Linked DNA regions of Struthio camelus. The protein of the gene in region 1 interacts with the protein of each later gene in a pairwise test. Links are inferred from orthologs where the notes say so. Each region holds a gene or a part of one and is shown in the gene's direction. Other genes may lie near its edges.

Region 1 (7,399 bases):
TGATGCTACTGCTGTGGGAAAAGAGACTGGTTTGGACCTACTAAAGCTGAGCAGGGCACAGAATGCAGGTTTTCCAGGTCCCAAGTTCTCTAATCATGGTGATTCTGTAGCCTGGTGATCATTGCTATCATGTTTGCCTCTGCTTCTGTCTTTATCACAACTATAGAATCTTTTGGTTAAATTCAGATTCTTTGTGTGCATGCTCTAACCATGCTTCCTAGATCCAGTCCGCGAGGGATTTTAGATGATGCCTGACCTACTTTCTGGATCCTAAACAAATACAGGCATAAGTCAAGCATCAGCTCTTTTGGTGCAACCAAGACATTAACTACTTACTGTACATGCTTACAGATGCCAGCTACAACCATCGAAAGACTTGGGCCACTACAGGTACAAGGTTCTGTGGTTTGTGCTCTTGAAGGTAGAACTTTAAGTTCTATCTAAATCCCATTTCAGGTGCTTAAGTGCTTTTCTGGATATGGTCCAAATAAACTTATTTGAAGGTTCTCTTTTATTCTGTATGAGTTTTGTAAAATAAAGTCTCCATATAAAACACATCAACAATTGCCAGAGAAATCTTCCCTCTATTCTCATTAAATAGAGCTTTTTGGATTTTCCACAGCTGGAAGATAGGGCTGCACAAGGAACTAACTTAACCATTCGCGTTTAAGACTTCATTATAACCTTCTGCTCAGTTCAAACACCCAAACCACACATATAGAAAGATGAAAAGATGAGTTCTGCATGCCTGTGCTCAGGTGAAATCAGCCTGTATTTCAGTCTACTAAAGATAGAAAGATTTGGTTTCACCCTCATCCTCTACTATCAGGAGATTATAGGTTAACAAAGGACTTTGGTAAGATGCCTAAGAAATTAAAAAAGAGCAGAAGCCTAAATGGATATTATTATATATTAATTTTATGTGCTAGTAAAGACATTCATTTAGAATTTTACAGCTTTCATCCCTATCAAGTTCTAGAAGATTTCTCCACAAGTATAGTTTGAACAAAACTATTGTCACTGGCCTTCTAGTTAAAGGCTAGCAACGCTCACTACTAATCCTCTGTGTGGAGGAACAACAATGTTCTCTGAAAAGCAAGATACAACGCCAACCAGTAGACACACCAGTCTGCTACAGCCTACCTTTTCCAAAACCCCATCCTGAAATTCATGCTTGCCAAATGTACATTGTTCAACCACTCCAGACAAAAAGATCTATAAATATCTAAGTTTTATACTAAGTATTACATACTCCAGCATATTTTGTAGATTTCAGTTTTGATTCTGAGTTCTCCAAAATTGTCCTTACTTTGCAGGGAAAAAGGCAGGGGAGAAAACTCAGAAAGATACCCTAGGAGACTTTTTTAAAACTATTCAGTAAACTTGTAAATGACTACCTCAAGAATACTGCATACAGAAACTGCTTTTATATTGTATTTCAGGTAAAACCTCATGCAACCACTTCTGTGAAGTTCAAACTTTGGTTGACATATGTAGTGACTTCTGAGACCTTATCTGAGGTCAGCAGTAGATTTCAGCCGCCTAAATAACAGTAAAGCTTTGAAGCACTGCCTCAACTGAACCTGCAACTAGAAAAACAGACAAACAAACATATTTCTTGTAACATGAGTTTCACACAACACATCTGAAACAGGCTATGGTTGTCTACATGCTTAATGAGATAACTAGTAATTTAAGTTCATTCCTCCTAGCCTTCAGCACTGTATAACAGAACCAGTAGTCTTTACTGATCACTGCGCAGTAGAAGAAACAAAGGTTGTCTGCAAAATGAAGAAAGTTGTGTTTGTACTTTTTCAGATTCTTAACAAAGTATAACTTAAATGTTTTCAGTTAGTTTTCAATGTATGGTTTCCAATCCTTACATATATACTACTACTTTTTACCTATTGCCCTAAACCTAGTTGAAAGATGAAAGAATCTTGAGGTTTTATGAGATATTTAAAAGTAAACTTATGATATTAATAAATTTGGGACATTTTGCTTTTATAAGTGTATCAAATGTCTTTTAAGAGGGACTAATACTTAGGATGTCACTATACCCCAGGGTGAGACAAATGTATGACAAAGCTTGTTTTGAAACAGGGAAGAGGCAAACCAGAGAAGCCTAACTTCTGCATAAAATATTGTTTTGTACAGCAAAAAAAAAAAAAAGCACCTAGCAATTTTACATATATAATCTACTCAAAAAATAATAATGTTCATATTTTTCAAGTATTCATATCAGGCTACTTATATTAGCAACAAACAAAGCCTAGAAAGAGGAGAACCTCAGTAGAACTATTAACAGCTTATGTGCAGAGCAGAATCAGAAAAAGCAAGAATCACAGAATACTATTAAAACAAATTCCTCCTCTCTTCAGCCTTTCTTTACATTACAGAAGACTGAGAAAAGAGTTGATCCATCTTAAGAAACTTGCAATAATCACTATCCTCTGTGTCATTACAAACTTTTTTTTTTTTTTTTTTTTTTTTACTGTAAACCACAGTGGAGCTGCTGCATATTTACCGTTTACACCTTCACCTGCCATTGGCTGCTGGGAATGCAATGTTGCATTCAACGGTAAGTTCCTAAATATAAACTTATTTCCCCATTAAGAAGTGTCCTTACTTAAAGTGCAGATGTTTTTCTGCATATTTCTGTTAGATTGTTTTACATTACAACAAATTAAAACAGGAAGGAAAAATTGTTGGAGATTACTAGCTGAATCTCAAAGCGTCACCAAAGGGTAGCAATATTGGTTTCCTAATTTAAGTCAGTAGTTAATTTGGGGCAAACTCAGGACACAAGTAGGATTGTAATCTTCTTTAAAAGTTTTAGCTGATGTAGAGAAAACTATATTTCTTGAATTCTTCATATCAAATGGATTAATCACACTGTTAACTGAAAACAGCTAATCTTACTGCCCATGATGAATTCTGACAGAAGATCTAGACTAGACTTTTATAAAAGTCTAGTCTAAGATGTTTCCTAAAATTGAACAGACCACAACCTTTTGTTTCCACCCCCTAGACTTTGTGGTATTCCTATTGATTTTGTATAAAGAACGAATAGGTTGGAAAGTATTATTTTTAAGATACTCGCTTATGTATTGTGAAGGAACATACATGCCCAGATGAGGCTGTTGGGCATTCGTCTCTTAAAAAGCAACAAAATACCAGACTTTGTTAGAAATTCCTGCAAGGTCTCCTGGCGTTTGCTTTTCTTCCTTCCAATTAACGGTGGTGCTAGACTTTTCCGACGCTACCGCTCCCAGGCTTTGCTCATACCCGAAAGTCCACGTTATCACTGCCTCCACATACCGTCCCGTATGGAGCTAAAGCTTCCTCGGCCTCCGACGTTAAGACACGCGCCTCACGCCTTCGCACGGCTGCCAGCCTGCGGGGAGCGCCCGCCTGCCCGCCCGGGCCTTTTCTAGCGGAGTCCTCGCCAGCGCCGCGGCGGCGGCAGGTAACCACCCCTCCCCCTCCCCAGGGCCCTAACGGCCCTAACGGCCCCCGCGCGCCGGCCCCGCCTGCCAGCTGCCCAACGGCCGTCGTGGGCTGCTGCTGCTGCTCCACCGGTCCCTCCAGCCCCCCTCAGGGCGGGGAGGAACCGACCTCCCTCCCCCCCTCCTCCTCTATCCTAAGTATAGGAAAAGTAGAAGTTATGCAAAGGGAGAGAGACCAACCAGGCGGATCCTGGTTGCTCCCGACCGGGCGGGGAGGGTGTGACGGCCGGGGGCGGCTGCAGCAGCAGCAGTAGCGGCGGCCCTCCTTGTGCGCGCAGCCCGGGAGGGAGGCGGCTGGAGCAGGCAGCCCTCCCTTATCACTTACTCGCCGCCGGGGTGTGCTGGCTCTCAGCGCAGAGCGGCTTTCTCGGGGGGCAGTGACTCACAGAAGCCTCCCTTATCCTGCCCGTGCACGCTCTCCCCCGGGAACGGGGCCCTGGTGCTGGGGGCCGGGGCCGCTCCTCCCCTGTTTACGCAGGGCTTGATTCAGCTCGCTCGGCTCTTCTCCCCGTCGCAGCACCCAAGTTGGTTCAGCCCGGGGCAGGCGCTAGGAATAAGCCCTCTCCCTCCCGAAGGGCCTCGCTTTAGACTCGCCTTCTCCCTGCCTGCCTGCCGCTGCGCACGACTTGGTTCCGACGGGGCCCTTTCGCCCGGGCGGCAGCGGCGGCTCCACAAGTTCCTGCTGCCGCTGCCCGGGGCGCGCGCACGAGGCTGGCGCGGCCGTTGGGGGCGCGCGGCGGCGGCGGGAGCAGCCGCGGCGGGAGGGGGGTTGTTGTGCGCGAGCCGCCGATGCCGCTGTGAGATGGCATCACTCTGCGCGGCGGCGGCGGAGCGTGGCGCGGAGGGGTGAGGAGCCGCGGCGGCGAGGAGGAGGAGGAGGAGAAGAAGAAGAAGGAGGAGGTGGCAGCGGCAGCGGCAGCAGCTCTGAAGCTGCGAACCACGGTAAGGAAACAAAACAGGCTGCGCCGCAGCCGTTTCGCTCTGCGATCTGGCCTGACAGAGCCCGGCCGGCCTGAGGAGAAAAACGGCTGCAGTTTTTCTCTGTCTTCTTTGCGGCGGCCGCGGTGGGGCTGGGGGGGAGCGGGGGCGGCCAGGGCGGGGGGTGGGGGGTTGAGCTCTGGACGGGTACCCGCTGCCCCTGTCACGGAGGGGCGGGGAGGAGGGGAATGGGCGTGGGGGCTAAAATGGCGAAGGGAGCTGTAGCGAGGTCTTGGTCTCTCTCTCCTTTCCGGCACTTCAGCTCGTCGCACACCCTGGGCCTTGCTGGGGCTGGAGGAGGGGGTGGCGACGGCTGCTTCTCCCCCTCCCTCCCTCAGTCTCCCCGTTTGGTGGCGGGAGGACTGCCGTGTCCCCCCCCTCCCCTCCGGCTCATGTCTGGACAGGGCGGAGGGCCTCTTGGCCCACACCTGGCCCGGGAAGCAGGGTCGGTACTTTCGTGGGCTTGTGGAGGTACAGGGCGGGGGGGAAAGGAGCGGGGAGTGTGGCTGGTATCCGATGTCAGGCGAATAACCTTGTTTATTCCTGTCTATGGCCTTTTGAGAGAGGGCGACTGAGGGCTGAGTCCTGACCCGTGTCAACGCCAAGTGGGTTGCGAGAGGTGTTAGTATCTGGGAGGCAGTGAACCAGTTGCGGGGTCGACCCTGCTTGATTCTGTGCCAGCTGAAGGCAAAGGAGAAAGATATTGTTGCGTTTCGGGTTCACCTTTCTTTGGTGAAACAGCGGAGGGAGGAGGTGAAGAGCAGTCTCCCCTCTGTAGTGAGCTGCTGTAACCCCACAGCCTATCATCATCATCCCTCACAGGATGTGTAGGGGGCAGGAGGGGACACAGGCTGGGTTGGAAGTCATCACTGTTACTGCTGAAGTCTGCGAGTCTCTCTGATTCTCTTAATGCAAGATTTGCTGAAAAGACCGTGTGAATTTGAGATGTTGAAACACTTATTCATGTCATTGATCTTTGTTTATATTATGACAAGATCCTACAACTTAGCATAAGTGTTCATTTACCTGATTTTTCAGTATGTGTCTTATTTTTGGAACAATACCAGTTCTCTTCCAAGTTAAACTGTGGTAATCTCACTCTGCTTCCAGGTCTATAAATGTTTAAACTGTATGTCAAAGAGAGAAAAGGAGTTAACCCTGTCTAATAATTTTAATGGAGCCCTTCAATGTTTGAATTAAACTCTGAAAAAGGATCTCTTCATATTTCAGCTATATTTTCATATAGTTCCTGCGTCCAATAGAAAATCATCAGGATATTTTGCATTAAAAAACTCAAGTTATGCAAGTTTAGTAACACTGGCTTGCTAAATGATACTCTCACTGGATGCAGGCAGTTGGGTTAAATATGGCTGTCCCTCACATGTATGAGATACATGCATATATATATATATATATATATATTTATAGCCTTCATAGTAATAATAACAATCTCTGCTTAAAATTTATGTTTTGCTTTAATCCCTTTGTTACATAGGAATAAACTGCTTAGTGATGATCTGTGGCAACTTGTCACTTGGGCTTTTTTAAAATTTTATGTGCTGTCTTATCTGAGTCTGTGTAAATGGACATATGAACTGAATTATTATTTCTCATTGATTTTTAATAGTGAAGATTTAAGAAATTTGCGTAGAAAAAATCTTAGGGATTTTCATTCTTTTAAGAAGGATTTTACAGCTTGTAAAAGCAGTTTATCTGGAAAGCTGTCAAAGGTGCTTTAAAATAGGACAGCTAGAAATATTTTGAACTAATGTTGGTTATAAACCAATCTGTGTTTTCAGAATCCTTCTGTTACTTCTTTGGGCCCCGTTTTAAGTGTTCGTTTAAATATCTGATCCTGTAAATGCTTCTTGTTAGTAGATCTTCCTATCAGTAGTCTTTTTCCAATGATACTATAGATTAGTTCCCTTAAATACATAATTTTACTTGAAATCATGCAAGCAGTTTTAAATACTCAAGGGTGAGATCTGTCAGCATGGGACACCTTGTTACCTAAAGGATATAAACTATTTTTTTGGGTGAAATTAATTTACATTTGTTGCTAAATATCAATGAACAAAAGGTTGTAAGTGAACTTTGTGCCTTTTTTTAAAGGGTTGGCAATAAAGTTAAAATAACTACCTGTCTTCAAGCGCTTCTTAAATTGTGGGAAGACCCACAGGCCTCAGAGCCAATCCCCTCTCCTGATTCTGTGGAACCCTTGGAAGATGGAGGAGTGCCTGCCAATTCTGTTGCTTTTTCTTTTTTTTTGTGTCCTTCTTTCTTTTCCATACACATATTATAAGTTGGAATTTCTACCCAGTCACTCTTCTGCTTTTACTCTTGAAAAGAATGTGTGTGTGGGAAAGAGATTCTTCTTTCCCTTCTACTATTCTGTGTCCAAAAAACATCATCTGTGATGGGAAGCTGGTATTGTGTTCAGTTTATTCATTTTTTTCCCCAAATTTCTATGCCAATAAAACCCTGCATTTCAAAACTCAGATACTTTAATCAAAAATTCATGAACTAGGCCATACTTATTAGTTAAAAATGGTTACTATTTATGCCATTAGGCCAAACTGTCGTGGTTAGCTTTTTTGCTGAAACAGAAGCTCATTCTAGAGTTTATTTGACTAGAATCCAGATAAAGAAGCAAGAAGACTTGGAGGGGGAATGGATGGAGGGATAGACAAGTGCGAACTTTAAGAAATGTCTCTTGTAAGCCCTCCTTAAGTAATGAATGGAAGTTTCTTTTAACTTGGTTTAAAAAAACTCTGCTTCCTCAAAAGGGCAGAAGAGGAGGGGTGAAAGTTACTGGTAACACAATATCCTTTAAGCTAGGTTAGTACTCATCTGCTTCTGCAGTGTAACGTTCACCTCAGTTAAAAAAATGGATTTCTAGCTTTACGTCTATC
Region 2 (7,683 bases), on another chromosome or scaffold:
TTTAAACAGACCTTCGGTCGGAGACAGCAGTGTGATTCTTATCCTGCTGAGCTTCTTGGAACATGCAAGTGAATGAACTTGTATGTATTAAGTCTTAAGAATTTTCAGCAAAGTATCTTTTTATTGGATATGTGTATGCTTTCTCATATGTAGAGAAGAATAACCACTGTAACCTGAAAGGAATTGCCTGAGCTGTGTGTTTCACAGCATTGAAGTTAACTCTGAAGGCATTAACTTAGAATGACCTTGCTTTTTTTTGTGACTCACCCCAAAGGTTATTTTCCTGCAGGTTTGTTCTGAGTGATAAAGATAGGTTTGCTTGCAATAAGTGCTGTTCCACATATATATATATTAACTTAAGCAAGGAAAGCTCCCACACCTTCCCTTGTTTATGCATATTATATGTGATATAGATTGAAAGTTAAATGTCACAGCCCTTATTTACAAGTTAACATGTGAAAATAACCTACTTTTAAACTTTCTCCTCATTTTCTCAGCTGCCTATCTTACTCTTCATTACAGCTGCTACTTACATGATACGGAACAAAAGGAGATGAGGAGGTTATGGCCCTCTTAGCTGCTCTGGTAAATCCCTATCTGTTGCAAATTTTACAGGTTGTCCACCTGCTTCTCAGTTGTCCTCTTCAGTCACACAGTAAAATTCCCTTCCACAAGTAGATAATGCCCATATAGGAAATTATACTTAATATTTCAGTAGCTGAGTAAAAGAGAGATGGCAGTACATTAAAAGCTGGTTCACAACCACTCCCTGATTTTCAAACTAGCCACAATTACATGTTAAAACAGCCCGGGAGCTGTTTCAGCAGGCAACAGGCTCCCCGAAGAACCGTCTCTGAGCATAGCCAGAATACAGTTTGTTCTGGTCACGCTTCCTCCAGCCTGCCTGTTCCAACATGCCCCTGCAAAAGAGGTTTCAGGGAGAGCAGCGTGCGAGCTAGTGGAACTGCCTCGTGCCTGCTTCAAACTCCCTTATTCTCTTCTCACTCCTCGAGTGGTATAAAGTGAATGTGGAGTGAAGCACAGAACCTATCCTTCAATCTCAGAAGCTGTTAAGAGTATTTCTAATAAAGGTAGATACGCGTGTGTGAGAGCCCCAGAGGACACCTTCTTGCTTCTTATGCTCATTTTATATCGTTTCTGAATCAAAACCCAATTTTTGTCGTCTTGAAAGTAAAGTTTAAATTCTGTTCCCATTCACTGATGGGTCCTGTGAATGAACAAGGTATATAAAGATTATTTTTCAATCACTGTCAAGATGTTCACGTAGTAGTAAAAGGTTAAGAAATGCAAGAGAGCCACAAAGCATACGGTTGTTTTCTTCAAGTAATCTCAAATAGATGAACTATGGAGGGCTTGTGTTTTTGCAGATTATACATCTTTACTTTTCAGTACGAGCAAAATGCAATGAGTGAAGTCCCTAAACCTGTACTATGTAACAAACATGCAAAGATAATGATTGTTGCAAAGTAAAGAAAAATTTATATCACTAATGAACACATAACCTTATCCTGCCTAGAGGTGGCTTCCAAGACATCAGACATTTTGTAAACCAGAGAACGGATCCAGACCATGTAAAATTGGGACGGTCCTGTCTTTTTCCTGTCTGTTAATTTTTCCATTATGAGAGTGTCCAAAACTCTCTGAAATAAAGGATTACTGTCTATGGGTTCAGAAAGGCATATTTTCACAGAATGGTTCATTCTGACAGGTAACCCCAGCAGCAGTCATACAAATTGTTCTGTAAATTGTAATGACCTTGAGCTTGGAAATTAATTCTACGTCTTGAGACCAAATGTTTATTCATTTTCAGTTCTAGTGTTCTCAGTGGTGCTGCGGCCCAGAAGGCAGATGGGTGATTTAGCTGGCCTCCTCCTTACTTGTGATACTGTAAGCAAGTGAGACCCATTTTGTTTTAGCATTTGGCTAAACAGGTAAATCTATTTACCCCTTTGCCACTAACTCGCTATATAAGCGCGAGCAAATCTCGCAGCTCTTCCTCCTCTTCCCCTTATTCAAATTTACCCAGCTGATCACCTGTGATATGACTATAGTAATGGAGTGAATTTTAGCCAATGAATGTGTACAGAAAATCCTGGAAGCCTTGCTGAACTAAGATTACAGCATGAATTCTGAGTTTAGAGGTGAGATTTGAGTACTTTCATTTTTCTGGCTGAAAAACAGTATGGAACAGTCCCCATGCTTTTCTAGCATGAACAGTGACAAAGAAATGGATATGGTCCCCAACAGAAATCCGCACTGTTATTACCCTGATGCAGTGTTGACAGCTCTAAGACTGTTTCTTCACGCATAGTCTTGCCCTGGGGCTTCTTTATGTTGCAAAATGTGCTGGGCCAAGAACCAGGAAAATAGAAAAAGATGACTTTAAACTTCCCCACACTTAAAATTATAGTTGTATTTATTTATATACAAAAAAAATGTATTTAACTTCTGTGTTTCACTTTGTTCACATACTCAGGTTATTCTCCAAATATTGTTATTCTCCAAACCATTTGCTATCAGGAACCAGGCCCTTCCAGAAAACAAATATGCAGCAAGTCAATGACACTAAGTAGCAATCAGTAATTTGGGCATTTTGGTTTTAGCATAATTAGTTGCTGAGAATTTTTGTGTTGGTTTTAGAGGTGCTGAGCAACTGTTTCCTCAAATGAAATTGGGATCATCTACAGGGGCTCAGCATCACTGTACTTCAGGCATCTCAATTTAGGCAGCCAAAAACTGGGTCAGGGCAGCGTTCCAAAATTTTAGTGGTGAGCCTCCAAAATTCAAGACACTCGGGGAATGCATGTTGGGGAATAGTAAGAAAATGTTTTAAAAAGAGGGGGGGGGGGGGGAAAGGTTATTTTATTTTGTGCCCAATATTGCTACTTCAAATTTTGGTGTTGTCAGTATGGAATAAAAAGTACTATTTGTTTAAATCGCTGCAAAAGCCAAGCCAGTTGCCTCTGAGCTTCAGACACTGTCTGAACCTATAGGTTCATAACTTGCCGCAAGGCGATTTGTACGGCTGGCTGTTTCAAATCCACAGGCATGGAAAAGCGTTTGGATCGCCGGCTTTCGAGGAGTCTCCCCACTGGGCCGCGCTGGAACTGGGAGCAGGGGAATGCGGATTGGCAAGAACCTGCACGTCTGGGAGCGGGTGAGCAGCCCCGGAGGCTTCCCAACCTCAGGTTCACCGTCAGCTCGTCTGGGAGGCTGCGGAGGCTCGAGGAAGCTGGGAAGCCTGCCTCAGCTTCAAATGTCAAAACTTGGGAGCTGGGGCCTCCCAAAACTTTTTACTCTCTGATTCCCGGACGGCTGTGAAGCAGCTGGGGCTGAGGCGCCTAAAGGAAGGAGGCAGCGGTGACTCTGCAGGTGGCCTCCGAGCCCCTTGCTCCTCGCCGGGCTGCCCGTGCACCCTGCTCACGCCGCGCCAGGGTGGTATATCCAAGGGTTGGAGCGCTTTAGGAACTATGGTTGGTATTTTTATGGTCTTTAGGGCCTTTCGGCGTGAAGGGGAGGATGGTAGAGGTGGGGCAGCGTGAAAGCCCACTTTGTCCAGCGATGACAAGCGAGGAACTGGAAAGTTACCTGGATCCCGTCCTGCCTTAGTCAAGGCTGAACCATCTCTACAAAACAGGGCCATCTGAACAAGCTGCCATTCTCTGACAAAAATGTTCCGTCTGAGACTTTCTGACCAGGGCTGGTAGTAAACAGCTCCGGAGCGTAATTTGTGCCTGATACAGGGCAAAAATTAATCGGGTACCGGGCCCTCGAGGTGGGAGGATGAGGGAATGGAACAGTAAATTAAATAGGTTGAAACAAAAAAACTGCAGATCGTCGTCTCCGCCTGGCTGCTTTGACCAAGCGAGGATCAGCCATCTCCATGTGAAAACACACCTTTTTTCACAGAGAAAAACAGCCGTCGGGGTCCGCCGGGGGCCTTACCCATCCCCGCCGGCCCGAGGGCACTCTGTCCCTTCCCCTGGCCCGGCAGCGCTTTGTCACTCGTGTTTGTTCGTCCCTCCCGCGTGGGGGGAGACGAGGGTCAGGGTTAGGGGGCCGGGTGCGGGGAGGGGAAGCGGCCGCCGCGGGCTGAGGGGAGGCGGCGGCCCTGACGGGAGCTTCCCGCCTCGCCGGGCGCGGGAAGGCCGCGAGCGCGCAGCCGCTGAGGGGGGCGCCGGCGCTGAGGGGGCAGAGCTTCCCCCCCCCCCCCGCGCCTCCGCCCTTCCCGCGCGGGAAGAAAGAGAAGGAAAAGAAGGAAAAGAAAGAGGAGCGCGGCGGCGGGCGCCCCCGGCAGCGCGTGCGGCGCTGCGGCTGCCGCCGGGGGGGGCGGCGGCGGCGGCGGGGAGGGAGAGCGGGAGCGGAGTTGCCGGCCGCCCGCCCGCCCTCCGCCGGCGGCGTGAGGGAGCGTGTTTGGGAGGGAAGGAGGGGGTGGAAGCCGGGCTGGGGCGGCCAGCAGGCAATTTGCATGAAAGGCAGACTGGGAATGAGCTGGAGCGGGCGCCTCCGCGCGCACGCAGAGCGGGGCAGCAGGGGGAGGAGGGAGCCGCCGCCGCCGCCGCCGGGGAAACGCGGCGAACTCCGGGCAAAGTTTGGTGCCGAGGGCCCGAGGCGCTGAGGCAGCGCCGCGCCGCGCCGGGCCGGGCCGGGCCAGGCCTCGTGGTGCCCGCGGGGCGGCGCGGAGCCGCCGGGTTTCGTGTGGAGGCAGCGGCCGGGCCGGGTCGGGTCGGGCCGGGCCGGGCAAGCCAGCATGTCCTCCATCCTGCCGTTCACCCCTCCCATCGTCAAGCGGTTGCTGGGCTGGAAGAAAGGGGAGCAGAACGGGCAGGAGGAGAAATGGTGCGAGAAGGCGGTGAAGAGCCTGGTGAAGAAGCTGAAGAAGACGGGGCAGCTGGACGAGCTGGAGAAGGCGATCACCACGCAGAACATCAACACCAAGTGCATCACCATCCCCAGGTCGGTGGCGGCGGCGGCGGCCCCGGGGCGCGGCCCGGCGGCGGCTCGGGGGCCGTTGGGGAGCGGCTGCCCCCGGCAGGGGAGAAAATGTCTCCAGCCGAGTCTGGAAGAGGGGAAGTGGGGGGAGGAGGGAAAAAAAACCCCAAACCCCAAAGTTGGCAGCGCTCTGGGCTGCCCTCGCGCGTACCCTGGGTGCTCTCGTGGTCAAAAGTTGCAGCGTGTTCTGCGGCAGCGCTGCGCCGAGTTTTGCCTCTGTGTGTGTGTGTGTGTTTGCGCGTGTGTTTTGGTTTTGGTCAGGAAAATGGTTTTATTTGGGTTGCTCGCCTTATTCCTGCGAGCTGGCCAGCTACTGCGCTGCAGATGTGATTTAGAGCCCTGCTGCGCGTTTGTTTTCACATTGCTTTTTAAATCGCGAGAGCAAATGGCATAGCTGAAGGGGATTACTTGCACTGCAAAAAAAAAAAATTATGTAAGGATGGATGTAACAAGTTGATTTTTTTTTTTAATTTTTGTTTTAACATAGATTTTTATTTTTAGCCTTGATCCCGAAATCAATCCATAATATGCATCCTTCCTTATGATATACATAGCATCTAAGAAAAAATGTTCAAGTAACTTTCAAATAGCTGGCCCCAAGCAGTGCTTTTTTTTGCTGCAGGTCTGTCGATTTCTGTGAGCTGAGCCAGATGACTGCTGAGTCTGTTACTTGTCGTTGTTTTGGGGGGGGGGGTGTTTTTAACAAAGGCCAAAGTTCAGCCCAAATATTTGAATCCTGCATAATTGTATGCTTCTGTGTGAGAAGATATCTCTGTGAGTATGTGTATTCATGCCTCTCTCTCGCCCAAACAAATGTATGCTTTCTTGGTTGTCAGAATGATTTAATATGCAGTAGCTAATACAAAGCAGCATCTGTTGCATGAAAAAGTGAAGCAAGTAGCTCAGAAACGTGGATATTTGGAACTCCTAACATTTTTTCCAGCAACTAGAGTTTTAAAGAAAAAGTAAAGCCTCCTCATCTTTTCGGTCCTGAGCGATCATGCCTAAGATTTCTGCCAGTAATCCGGATTGAGGACTCTGCCTTTGTTAGAGTTACTCTGGCTCCTCGTAGTTGAAGCAGAGATCAAAACCTACAAAGCTGCCACCTGGTACAAATGCCCTTAAACCTCTATTTTGAAATTCTTGGTAAGCAGGGTACTTTCCTCATAGAAAATGCCCTGTGTAAACCACTTCCCTGAAATATTTGCCTTTTCATAAGAAAAAATTTACTTGAGGAGTCCTACGGTTGAAGTGACTTGTATATTATTGTGCTTCAGGTTTCCGTGGAGAGTTGCTGATGCTGACCTGTTAGGAAGCAGAGTGTGAGGCTCCCCGACGTTTGCTTTACTAGGAACAAGGTGTTTTAGCTTAAGGAAGGCATTTGGAGCAAAAAGACGGGTGGAGTAGGAAGCTTTAATTTAGAGAAATAATTTTAAAGCTGGAAAATAAGTAACACCACAAGCAGATGTCACAAGTTATAAATATTATCACCTCCAGAGATTACTCTGGCTATTGTCTACTGTGCAGAAGAGAATGCTGGTTTCTCCCAAATTTTGCTCTGTTAAAGGGAAACAGTACAAAAACTAAAACATTTCATGTTCACTTATGACACAGAGTCTGATCCTTCAGGTCTTAATCCTTGGTACTGGGGACCAAGGATTCATATGCTCACTACTGTCAGCATGTTTTGACGGTAGTTCCTTGTGCCTTGGTACTAGTCTTTAAACATGACGCTTCCTATGCACTTTTACTGTTATTTTATATAGATATTGCAGAGATCCTTAAAACAGTAGTTAGGTTACCCTGTGCTGGACCGTCTGCAGCAGCATAGTATTAGGTTAATGTCTAGATATCTGAGATTGGGGAAGGGAGTGGAAATGTGAAACAGCTGGTCTTGAAGCCAATGGCAGAGCTGTAATTGTAACCAGGCCTTGTGACTTTTAAGTGCAATGTCTTCTCCACTGGACTGCGCTGTTTGTCCTAACGCTTCTGTGACTGATTATCATGTCACTTGAAATTAGTGTTTGCAAGACAATTTTAGTATGGCTTTGGTATTTTCTTTTAAAATAATTCTGCATGCGTTGCTGTGTTATTTAGGCAAATTTAAGTACATTGAGGGGACAAAAGGGAAAAACCATCGTTACGGATAAGATCGTGTTGTGCATTGTCTGTAATACATCAGTAGACTAAATTACAGTGGAGCTATGCCAGGGATGACTCTGGCCCAGCAGGAGCAGGGTTAGTACAAAATTAGCCGTTGTACCCATGAGATGAGGCAAGGTTTGAGATGTAAAAGTGCTTAAGCTTTTCAGAAATGTTGCCCTTGGGAATAAGGGCTTCACAGCAGATGAGCTGAAACTTCAAATTCCTCTAGTGACCAAGTAGGGTTAAGTGTGTTACTTTCCGAGTGCTCAGTTTGTAAGATGATGTGACCAACAGACGTTCAGGTCCCAGGTTTTCTGTTTGAAGAACCTATGGCAGCCAGCACGAGGCTGGAGAGACCTTGAAAAATTCCAGCATGATGCCCTAGTGTTGGCAAGAATTTTCTTTCTTGTTGATTCTGGTGGAGCGGGGAGTCGTTTCCACCTGGAAAACCCACCAGTCTCGGGCCACCCTATTGCTGCCTGGGCCTGAGAGAAGGGCTCTTTTAAAGGACCTTCCTTTTTCCTC
Region 3 (8,170 bases), on another chromosome or scaffold:
CCAGCTCTGGAACTCCTCAAGGAAGCTATTGACAAGGCTGGCTACACAGACAAGATCGTCATCGGCATGGATGTGGCAGCCTCTGAGTTCTACCGTGATGGCAAATATGACTTGGACTTCAAGTCCCCAGATGACCCAAGCCGCTACATTTCTGCAGATGAGCTGGGTGACCTCTACCAAAGCTTTGTACGTGATTATCCAGGTGAGCTGCTGTGCTTGGCAGTGGGGAATCAGCACTGGTGTTGCAAACATAACAGACACATCCTGTCTGTGTTTTGGGGGTGGGGAAGGAAGCAGCTTTGACTCAGGCTTCTTCTGTTGTCCCTTCAGTGGTCTCCATTGAGGATCCCTTTGACCAAGATGACTGGGAGGCTTGGTCCAAGTTCACAGCCAATGTGGGGATTCAGATAGTGGGAGATGACTTGACAGTGACAAATCCCAAGCGCATTGAGCGAGCTGTGGAAGAGAAGGCCTGCAACTGCCTCCTGCTCAAAGTCAACCAGATTGGATCTGTCACAGAGGCTATTCAAGCGTGAGTCCATCCTGCTGTCTCTGCTGTCCTAAGAGAGGGAAAGGGTTGGTGTGGAACCACATCAGGGTCTAGCACGATCCATTGGACAAAATCACCTTTGTGTCCACAAGAGTGTAGGATGCTGAGGGTGGGAGGAGAGGATGCCTGGATCTCACCCTGTGCAGGTGGTGGCTACAGAAGGAGCTACTGATGGCATTTCTTGCTCCTTGCAGATGTAAGTTGGCCCAGGAGAATGGTTGGGGTGTGATGGTGAGCCACCGATCAGGGGAGACTGAAGACACCTTCATTGCTGATCTGGTTGTGGGACTGTGCACTGGGCAGGTAGGTGAAACACAGGCTATAGATAACATTTTGTGGAGGACAATAAGAAGGTTGTGAAGACAGACCCCCCCCGCCTCCTATCCCCTATGGGGAAACTGGTGCAAGTCATCACAGTGTCTTACAGTGTTCGTTGTGTGGAATACTTTACAGATAAAGACGGGCGCTCCCTGCAGGTCTGAACGCCTGGCGAAATACAACCAGCTCATGAGGTAAGGGGCTCCAAGGTTGGGAACACATAAGAAAGAATGGAGAAGCAACTAACGGGGGTGGGAGAAGTTGAGAGCCCAAGGGTAGAAGGGGTTTGTGGGGAAAATATTATGAAAACAGGGCTCAGACCAAGAATAGGATCCTGGGGACATCTCTGGAGCAGACCCCTTCCCTACTCCTTGGCATAACGGTGCAGCAGCCTCATGCATAGCAGCTGGGAGGAGCAGAGCTCCTCTATTCCATTTCAGATTTGTGGCTGATGCTCTGCATCTCAGGTGCTCTAGCGCCTCTGATGCTCCCTCACAGCAAGGGTCTAATGTTTGCTGTCTCTCTCTTCTGCAGGATTGAGGAAGAGCTTGGTGATGAAGCACGCTTTGCTGGACATAACTTTCGCAATCCAAGTGTTCTTTGAACATTGTTCCGAGGGCACTGCCACTCTGCTGCTCTTTCCCAGGTCACAGTCTCTGAAGCCCTCTTCTCTCCACTGCTCCCCTTTTTGCTCTCTCTTTCTCTCTCCTCTGCCGCCTGCCACTCTCACCTCAAATCCCCATGAGTTCAGGTCTGTCTGGCTAGGTGTATCCAGGTGAAGGATGAAAGTGAGGCCTACCCTCTCTCCCTTGCTTTGGGATCATGAGCATTTCTGAATCTAGGCATTTTGTGTCTTCTGTTTTTGTGCAGGGACCATGTCTGAGTCACTTTGTTCACATATTAGACTATGGGGGCCTGCCGCCTGGTGTGTTTACGTTGTACGCCGAAACATGTGCGGTGAACATAAGCGTGTCGGCTGGTGTGTTTGGACAAGTGTTGCATCCGTAGCTGTGTTTGGACGAGTGTTGCCAGCGGCTCTCGTGCATGTGTATAGGCGTGTGTGTACTGGCCTACAGTGTCATTTTGCCCCAGGCACGTTTGCGCTGAGCCATCGTGGGACCCAAGCGTCTCTTCATTCCACTCTGCGTGTTGTGTTGTATTGAGCTGTGCTTGTCAGCAGCTTAGTATTGAACTGCACTGCTTTCTGTCACTCGGTGTATGTGTGCTGTCAGTCTCTGGGTTAAGCGGCTCTGTGGGGTATCGTGGGTCAGTGCATAGTAGCGTGGGGAGTATATTAAGACACAGTCGTAAACAAACACATGCTCTCATTTGCTTCTCTTGACCTTTTTCTCTCTGTTTCCTTCTCTCTTGCTCTCCTTCACCCTGTCCTCCACCCATAACGTCTGCGTCACCTTCTGGACAACCCATGCTCAGCTGAGCAACAGACAAACTACAGAACCCTAAACTCAATTAAAATGTATTTCACACCTGAGTTGCCTGGCTTGGCCTAATGTTTTTATCTACACAACTGCTGTCTGGGAAATGGGGACATCTTGCAAGCAAAGCAGAAGATCAAATACAAAGGTAGCCAAAACAAGCAGAGGGACTGGCAAGTGAAAGAGAAGGCCCAGGTATCCCCATCTCCTTTCACAGCCCTGCCACATAGCTAGAATGGTCTGTCAACTGCCCGATTCCAGAACAAAGAGCTGGGGAATATTGAGAGGAGGGCAAGTGGGAAGGTGTAAATTCCCTCCCACCCTTCTCCACTACATCACATTGCATGAAGGGATGCCAGGGATGTTGTGCAAAGGATTTTAATGATGCTCTCCACTGATGTAACAGACCTCAGAATAGGCCACAGACAGCTGCCCACTTGACATCTAGTCAAGTATTTTTAAGTACTAGAACTGCAAGTATTTGTAAGAGAAAAAGCTGCTCCCTGCAAAAGAGAGGGCATGTAGACCAGTGAACGGAGGGGTAAATGGGATGTCAGCCTCCTTCAATACCATCTTAGATCACAGGGGACAATACAGCAGTACTTGGGAAAAATATCCTGTGCTCCAGCTGGTTTTGCAGAAGGCCAAGTGGAAGTAAACCTCACTGCGTCTTAAACAGAATTATTCTGAACAGACTCCAATGAAGGTGCAAAGGAGGGGAAGTGCTACTTTGAGAAATCCAACTCAAGGTATGATGGATAAAAAATGATGAAAACACTTTGTCTGCCCCATCTACTCATGCCAGTAGCCCATCCATGTACACGGGCACACTGAGGTCCTGCAAACCTCCTGCTCCGTTACAGCAAAACAAGCTTCCAGACCCTCACCTAAGCCACACTACCTTGTCTCTCAGGATGAGCAAGCAAAAGAGAAAAGCACAGAAGCACAGAATGGTTTAGGTCGGAAGGGACCTCTGGAGATCATCTAGTCCAACCTCCCTGCTCAAGCAGGGTCATCTAGAGCACATTGCACAGGATCATGTCCAGACAGCTTTTGAATATCTCCAGCGAAGGAGATATTCAAACAACCTCTCTGGGCAACCTGTTCCAGTGCTCTGTCACCCTCACAGAAAGAAGTTTTTCCACATGTTCAGATGGAACTTCCTGCGTTTCAGTTTGTGCCCGTTGCCTCTTGTCCTGTCGCTGGGCACCACTGAGAAGAGTCTGGCCTCATCCTCTTGACACCCCCCTTTCAGATACTTGTACACACTGATGAGCTCGCCGCTCAGTCTTCTCTTCTCCAGCCTGAACAGGCCCAGCTCTCTCAGCCTTTCCTCATAGGAGAGATGCTCCAGTCCTCTAATCATCTTGGTAGCCCTCCGCTGGACTCTCTCCAGTAGTGCCATGTCTCTCTTGTACTGGGCAGCCCAGAACTGGACACAGTACTCCAGGCGAGGCCTCCCCAGGGCTGAGTAGAGGGGGAGGAGCACCTCCCTCCACCTGGCTGGCGACGCTCTGCCTAATGCAGCCCAGCATACCATTGGCTCTCCTGGCTACCAGGGCACATTGCTGGCTCATGGTCGACTTGTTGTCCACCAGGACTCCCAGCTCCCTTCTCTGAGGAGCTGCTTTCCAGCAGGTCAGCCCCCAGTTTGTACTGGTGCATGGGGTTATTTCTCCCTAGGGGAGGAGTCAGTCAGAAGACGGAGGTATATCAGCAAGGCCCAAGCCCTCTTAACTGTGCACTGATGTTGACCTTAAAACTGAAAGAAAATGCTTTAAAAATCAACATTGGCATTTCACTTCTGACTCTTTAGTGAATAATATATGAGATGGAATAAGTTCAAGAAGGGAAGACAAAGGACATGATACACATGCCCAGAAAAGGAAAGAGGATGGGAAGAGAAATGTAAGGGTAGAAACAGGAATGGTTCCAAAGGGATCGTTAATTAATATGGAACAAATCTTGATAACAATTAATAGCTTATGTCCTAACTAAAGGCCATCTCTTGCCCATAATCGCCATGAAGTCTCCTCTTCAGTCTCTTGGAGAAGCAGCATAGCTGCAGGGTGAAACCTATCCCATACTTAAAGATTGCAGCTAAAAGTGAAGTCCCGCCACTGTGTCCCACTTCCACACCTCAGATTCACAGACGTTTAATCCAGGAACACAAAGGTGCTGAATGGAGCATGGAACCCACTTATGGGCAATACCATGTAGTCCCTGGAGATAAGAAACCAAGGAGAAAAATTCTGTAGCTGGCCAAGTTATGGTGGGACACCAGACTTCTGGTGAGAGTACCAACAACACCAGAAACAGTCTGAGGGCCCTGAGATTAAGAAATGTATGACATGGCACATCCACGGAGCTCCACTAGCGAGCGCTGCTCATAAAGTTGGCTCTGAGCTCCTCTTCTACCCACCTAGGCCATGGAGCCAGCTGCCCTAGGCAGCTACCCCATGCCACATACTGCAGCCAGCTGACCCCCACCAGCTGCACCCCACCAGAAGCCCCAGCCAGCTGCTCCCAGGCACCCGCACCCTGCTGGCTGCCCCCGCCGCGGGCCCCGGCGGTGCCCTGGGCCTGGGGGCCAGGCACGGCTTGGGGACGGGCAGGGCCGCAGCTGCCTTCTGGGAGCTGTAGTTCAGGCATTTCCGTGGGAAAAAAGCTCCATTTTCCTGTGCCGGAGCCCTCCGCTTTCCTCAAAATGCGATCCCTCCAGCAGGTAGGAAGGGTCGGAGTGTCACGGGAGCTGTTTCACTGGGGACTCCCCGTTAGAGGGCACCCGTGTCCCAGCACGAAGCGGGCGGCAGCGAGAGAGGCCCCGGGGGGCTGCGCGCCCCGAGCCCGCGGCCCGGCGCTGCGCTCCCGCCTCCGCGTCCCCGGCTGCGCGCCCCGGCTCTCGGCCGCCTCAAAAGCCGGGGGAAGGCACGGTGGCGGGGAGGGCACGGTGGCAGGGAAGAGCTCAGCTGGTGCCTGCTGGCAAAGGCATGCGGTGTGTTTTGGGGATGGCAGGGTTGAACTTGGTAGTCGTGGAACGTTTTGCCATGGTTATGTTTGCAAAATTACATAACATTATATGAAATAAATATATATAATAAAATTATATTAAAAACTTTGTTTTGTGAAGGAAACTATACTGTGCATATGTGCATAAGATACAGATAACGTCATTTTTCCATTTGTATACCTAACTACTGTTTTCCTTCCTTTTAAATGCTGGAATTCTGCAAACAATGTGGTTGTTGCTTAGCGATCAGGACACTTTTCTGGAAATAAAGTTTCTTAGTTTTCCAATTCCCAAGAGCATTTTTTCCCGCCAGCTCTCTTTTATTTGTCTTTTTTTTTTTCTTTTGTGCAAAGAAGGAAATTAAACAGAACACAAGGTAGGCTGCGTTACCCACTCAAATGCAGCAAGGCTGTAACAGTAGGGAACCAGTATATATGTGCCTACATTGTGGGAAGAATTTCTTTCGAAGAGTTATTGCCAGTGAGGTGTTGTCACATCGCAGTGTAAGAGAAGATGCTGGAAAGCACCAAAGTGATGAGGATGAATTGCATCACAGCAGTGCCTTACCTTAGTGTCTTTTCTAAATCAGAAGAGTTCATCATTGATAGCACGATGCATAGACGCAATATGCGACTCTGGTATGCTTACTTGAGTCACTACAAATATTTGTTTTTGGCCAACGCATGGTAAAATCTATCACTTGTGTCTCTCTCTTTGCCTCAATGAAAGAGATTAGGTTATAGTTTCCATGTAATAGCAATATCCAAATACCTTGTTATGCCTGCGCCTGAGGACTCCTGTTGTATAAGCTGATGTCTCTATGAGACTGCAGTGTTATAACGTGCTTTCAGTCAGAGTGTGAGGGACAACACAGTCAGTGATAAGGTGGAGATGTGACAATATCTGCTAAAAGCGAAGCGTCTTTGACATTGGTTTTGTTTAAATTCTCAAATGCAATTCTGTTTAGAAGATATTTTCCGAGCAATGGCTAGCTGTCAAAGGAAAAATTTAACACTAGCCCCTGCCGAAGCCTGCAGAATTGTTCTTTTGTTTGTAAATAGGTGCGTGTGCCTGTGCCCGTGAAGGAGCTGGAAGGGGAGCTGTTTGGGAATTAGGCTTGTTGTTGAGAACACAGTGAAGCCTTAATGATAAAGAGTTGCTGATTTCTTCAAGGATCTTTTTGTCTCTCTCAGGAGTGATGGGATTGTACTTATCCTTGGGAAAGCAACATCTGTAACCTATGAGGCTGTCAGAGACATTCCTCTACTGAACACCTAACAAGAGGTGCACCATTTTGGGTCCTGGGTAATTCCTATGACGTGCTGAGCAACCTTCATGAAGGGAAGCGTATGGTTTTGTTGCTGGAAGACTAAATACAGACAGGTTGTCAGGTGGACATGAGGCTCAGTCTGTGGGCAAAGATCAGCTTACCAGAGCGTTGCATGTCTGAGAGCGCAAAGAGCTATGCCATGTATAGGGGGAGATAAAACACCCTCTGTAAGCGACACCGATGCCATAGTTTTGGTATAACTGCATCCATCGTGGGTGTCCCTGCTAGCACAGTGCATATCCTGCTGTGCCTGAGAAATCAGTTGCGTGGCTATGACAGACTGGCACATCTAGTGGAGAGCTAAAGTGGGGTAATAGGAAAGGTTGCCTCCCTCATCTCTGCTCCTCCTCACTTCCGGAGGATACCAGAATAGCACATTGATGAACCTCACATTAACAACTCCTTGAGTTGTAGCCCAGGCCCGATTAAATCAATTAAATGGTAAACTGAGGTGGGTGCTTCATTTGTGATTCTTCAGCTATCTCAGCCGTGGGGCAGCCCTTGCTGAGAGAATGGTGAAACTGGGAGGTGTGGTTTATAGCCTTCTCAGTGGTTCAGTCTCCTTTACCAACAAATGCCAGGCTGCAGGTATTGTTTGGGTGGGTTTGAGAGATTAAGCTAGGAGGAACCATTCTGTGTGGTTCTGGTTTGGTTTGGGTTCAGAGAAAGTCTTTCCTTAGGTCCAAGCACAGACTAGATGGCTTGCTTGATTATTCTTTTCATTAAGGCAGCTACTGTGTGTTGTGTGTCTATACTGTTGAAAAGGAAAGCAGGACTCTACCTTTCTAGAATCACAGCATCATAGAAAGATTTATATGAGAAGGGACTTCCTGAGGCCTCCACTCCAAACCCCTGCTTGGAGCTGGCTTAACTCCTGAGCTAGATCAGTTGCTGAGGGCCTTGTCCAAGCTAGTCCTGAACATCCCCAATGGTGGAGATTCCCCAGCCTCTCTGTGGTAGAGAGGCACCTCTGCCAATGTTGAACCAGCCTCAGGGAGGAGGTTTTTCCTTTATCTAGTCAGAATTTCCCTTCTTGCAAGTTTTGTAACCTTTCAGTGTGCACCTCTGAGAAGAGCTTTGCCCTGACTTCTCTATAAATCCCAAATAAATAGCTGAAAACAGCAATTAGAACCCCTCCACCGCTGTCTTACTGGCCCTCTGCTGTACTCTGTCCAGTTTATCAGTATCTCTCTTGTACTGTATTTATGTTAAAAGGATATATCACAGCGGAGGCCTCTTGTTTCTCAAGTTAATGTTTATTGTGTAGTAGAATCAGAGAATAATACAGCTGGAGAGATCCTAAGGGATTGTGTGGCCCATCCTTCTGCTCCAGGGGGGAGGATCAACTCTACCTGAGCATTCCTGATATGTATGAGCTGAGCCTCCTAGCTGACTCACAGACTCCCCGAGTCATTTATCCAGCCTGAAAAAAATATAGCTAATAATACTCTTCATTTAGCCAAGCTCTTCAATCTGTTGATTTCAAAGGTGTCTTCATTTTATTAGCTGTGCTTGACAGCCAGTCT

Evidence for each region.
Region 2: the proteins of WWP1 (region 1) and SMAD3 interact in binary tests that used the Homo sapiens proteins (3 or more experiments, as listed by UniProt). The two-hybrid records come from large-scale screens. The link is inferred for Struthio camelus from reciprocal best matches to the Homo sapiens genes WWP1 and SMAD3.
Region 3: the proteins of WWP1 (region 1) and ATN1 interact in a two-hybrid assay, tested with the Homo sapiens proteins (2 studies listed by BioGRID and IntAct). The link is inferred for Struthio camelus from reciprocal best matches to the Homo sapiens genes WWP1 and ATN1.

What each region holds. Positions count from the first base shown.
Region 1 is NC_090943.1:152,425,562-152,432,960, reverse strand, and holds the start of WWP1 (NEDD4-like E3 ubiquitin-protein ligase WWP1), read left to right. Parts: upstream 1-4,247; 5' UTR 4,248-4,451; intron 4,452-7,399. UniProt on the Homo sapiens protein: E3 ubiquitin-protein ligase which accepts ubiquitin from an E2 ubiquitin-conjugating enzyme in the form of a thioester and then directly transfers the ubiquitin to targeted substrates.
Region 2 is NC_090953.1:2,691,845-2,699,527, reverse strand, and holds the start of SMAD3 (mothers against decapentaplegic homolog 3), read left to right. Parts: upstream 1-4,473; 5' UTR 4,474-4,771; coding exon 4,772-4,977; intron 4,978-7,683. UniProt on the Homo sapiens protein: Receptor-regulated SMAD (R-SMAD) that is an intracellular signal transducer and transcriptional modulator activated by TGF-beta (transforming growth factor) and activin type 1 receptor kinases.
Region 3 is NC_090942.1:90,570,690-90,578,859, reverse strand, and holds the start of ATN1 (atrophin-1), read left to right. Parts: upstream 1-4,960; 5' UTR 4,961-5,029; intron 5,030-8,170. Other genes in the region: ENO2 (gamma-enolase), read left to right, coding at 5-202, 331-532, 745-853, 1,004-1,062, 1,403-1,472. UniProt on the Homo sapiens protein: Transcriptional corepressor. Recruits NR2E1 to repress transcription. Promotes vascular smooth cell (VSMC) migration and orientation. Corepressor of MTG8 transcriptional repression.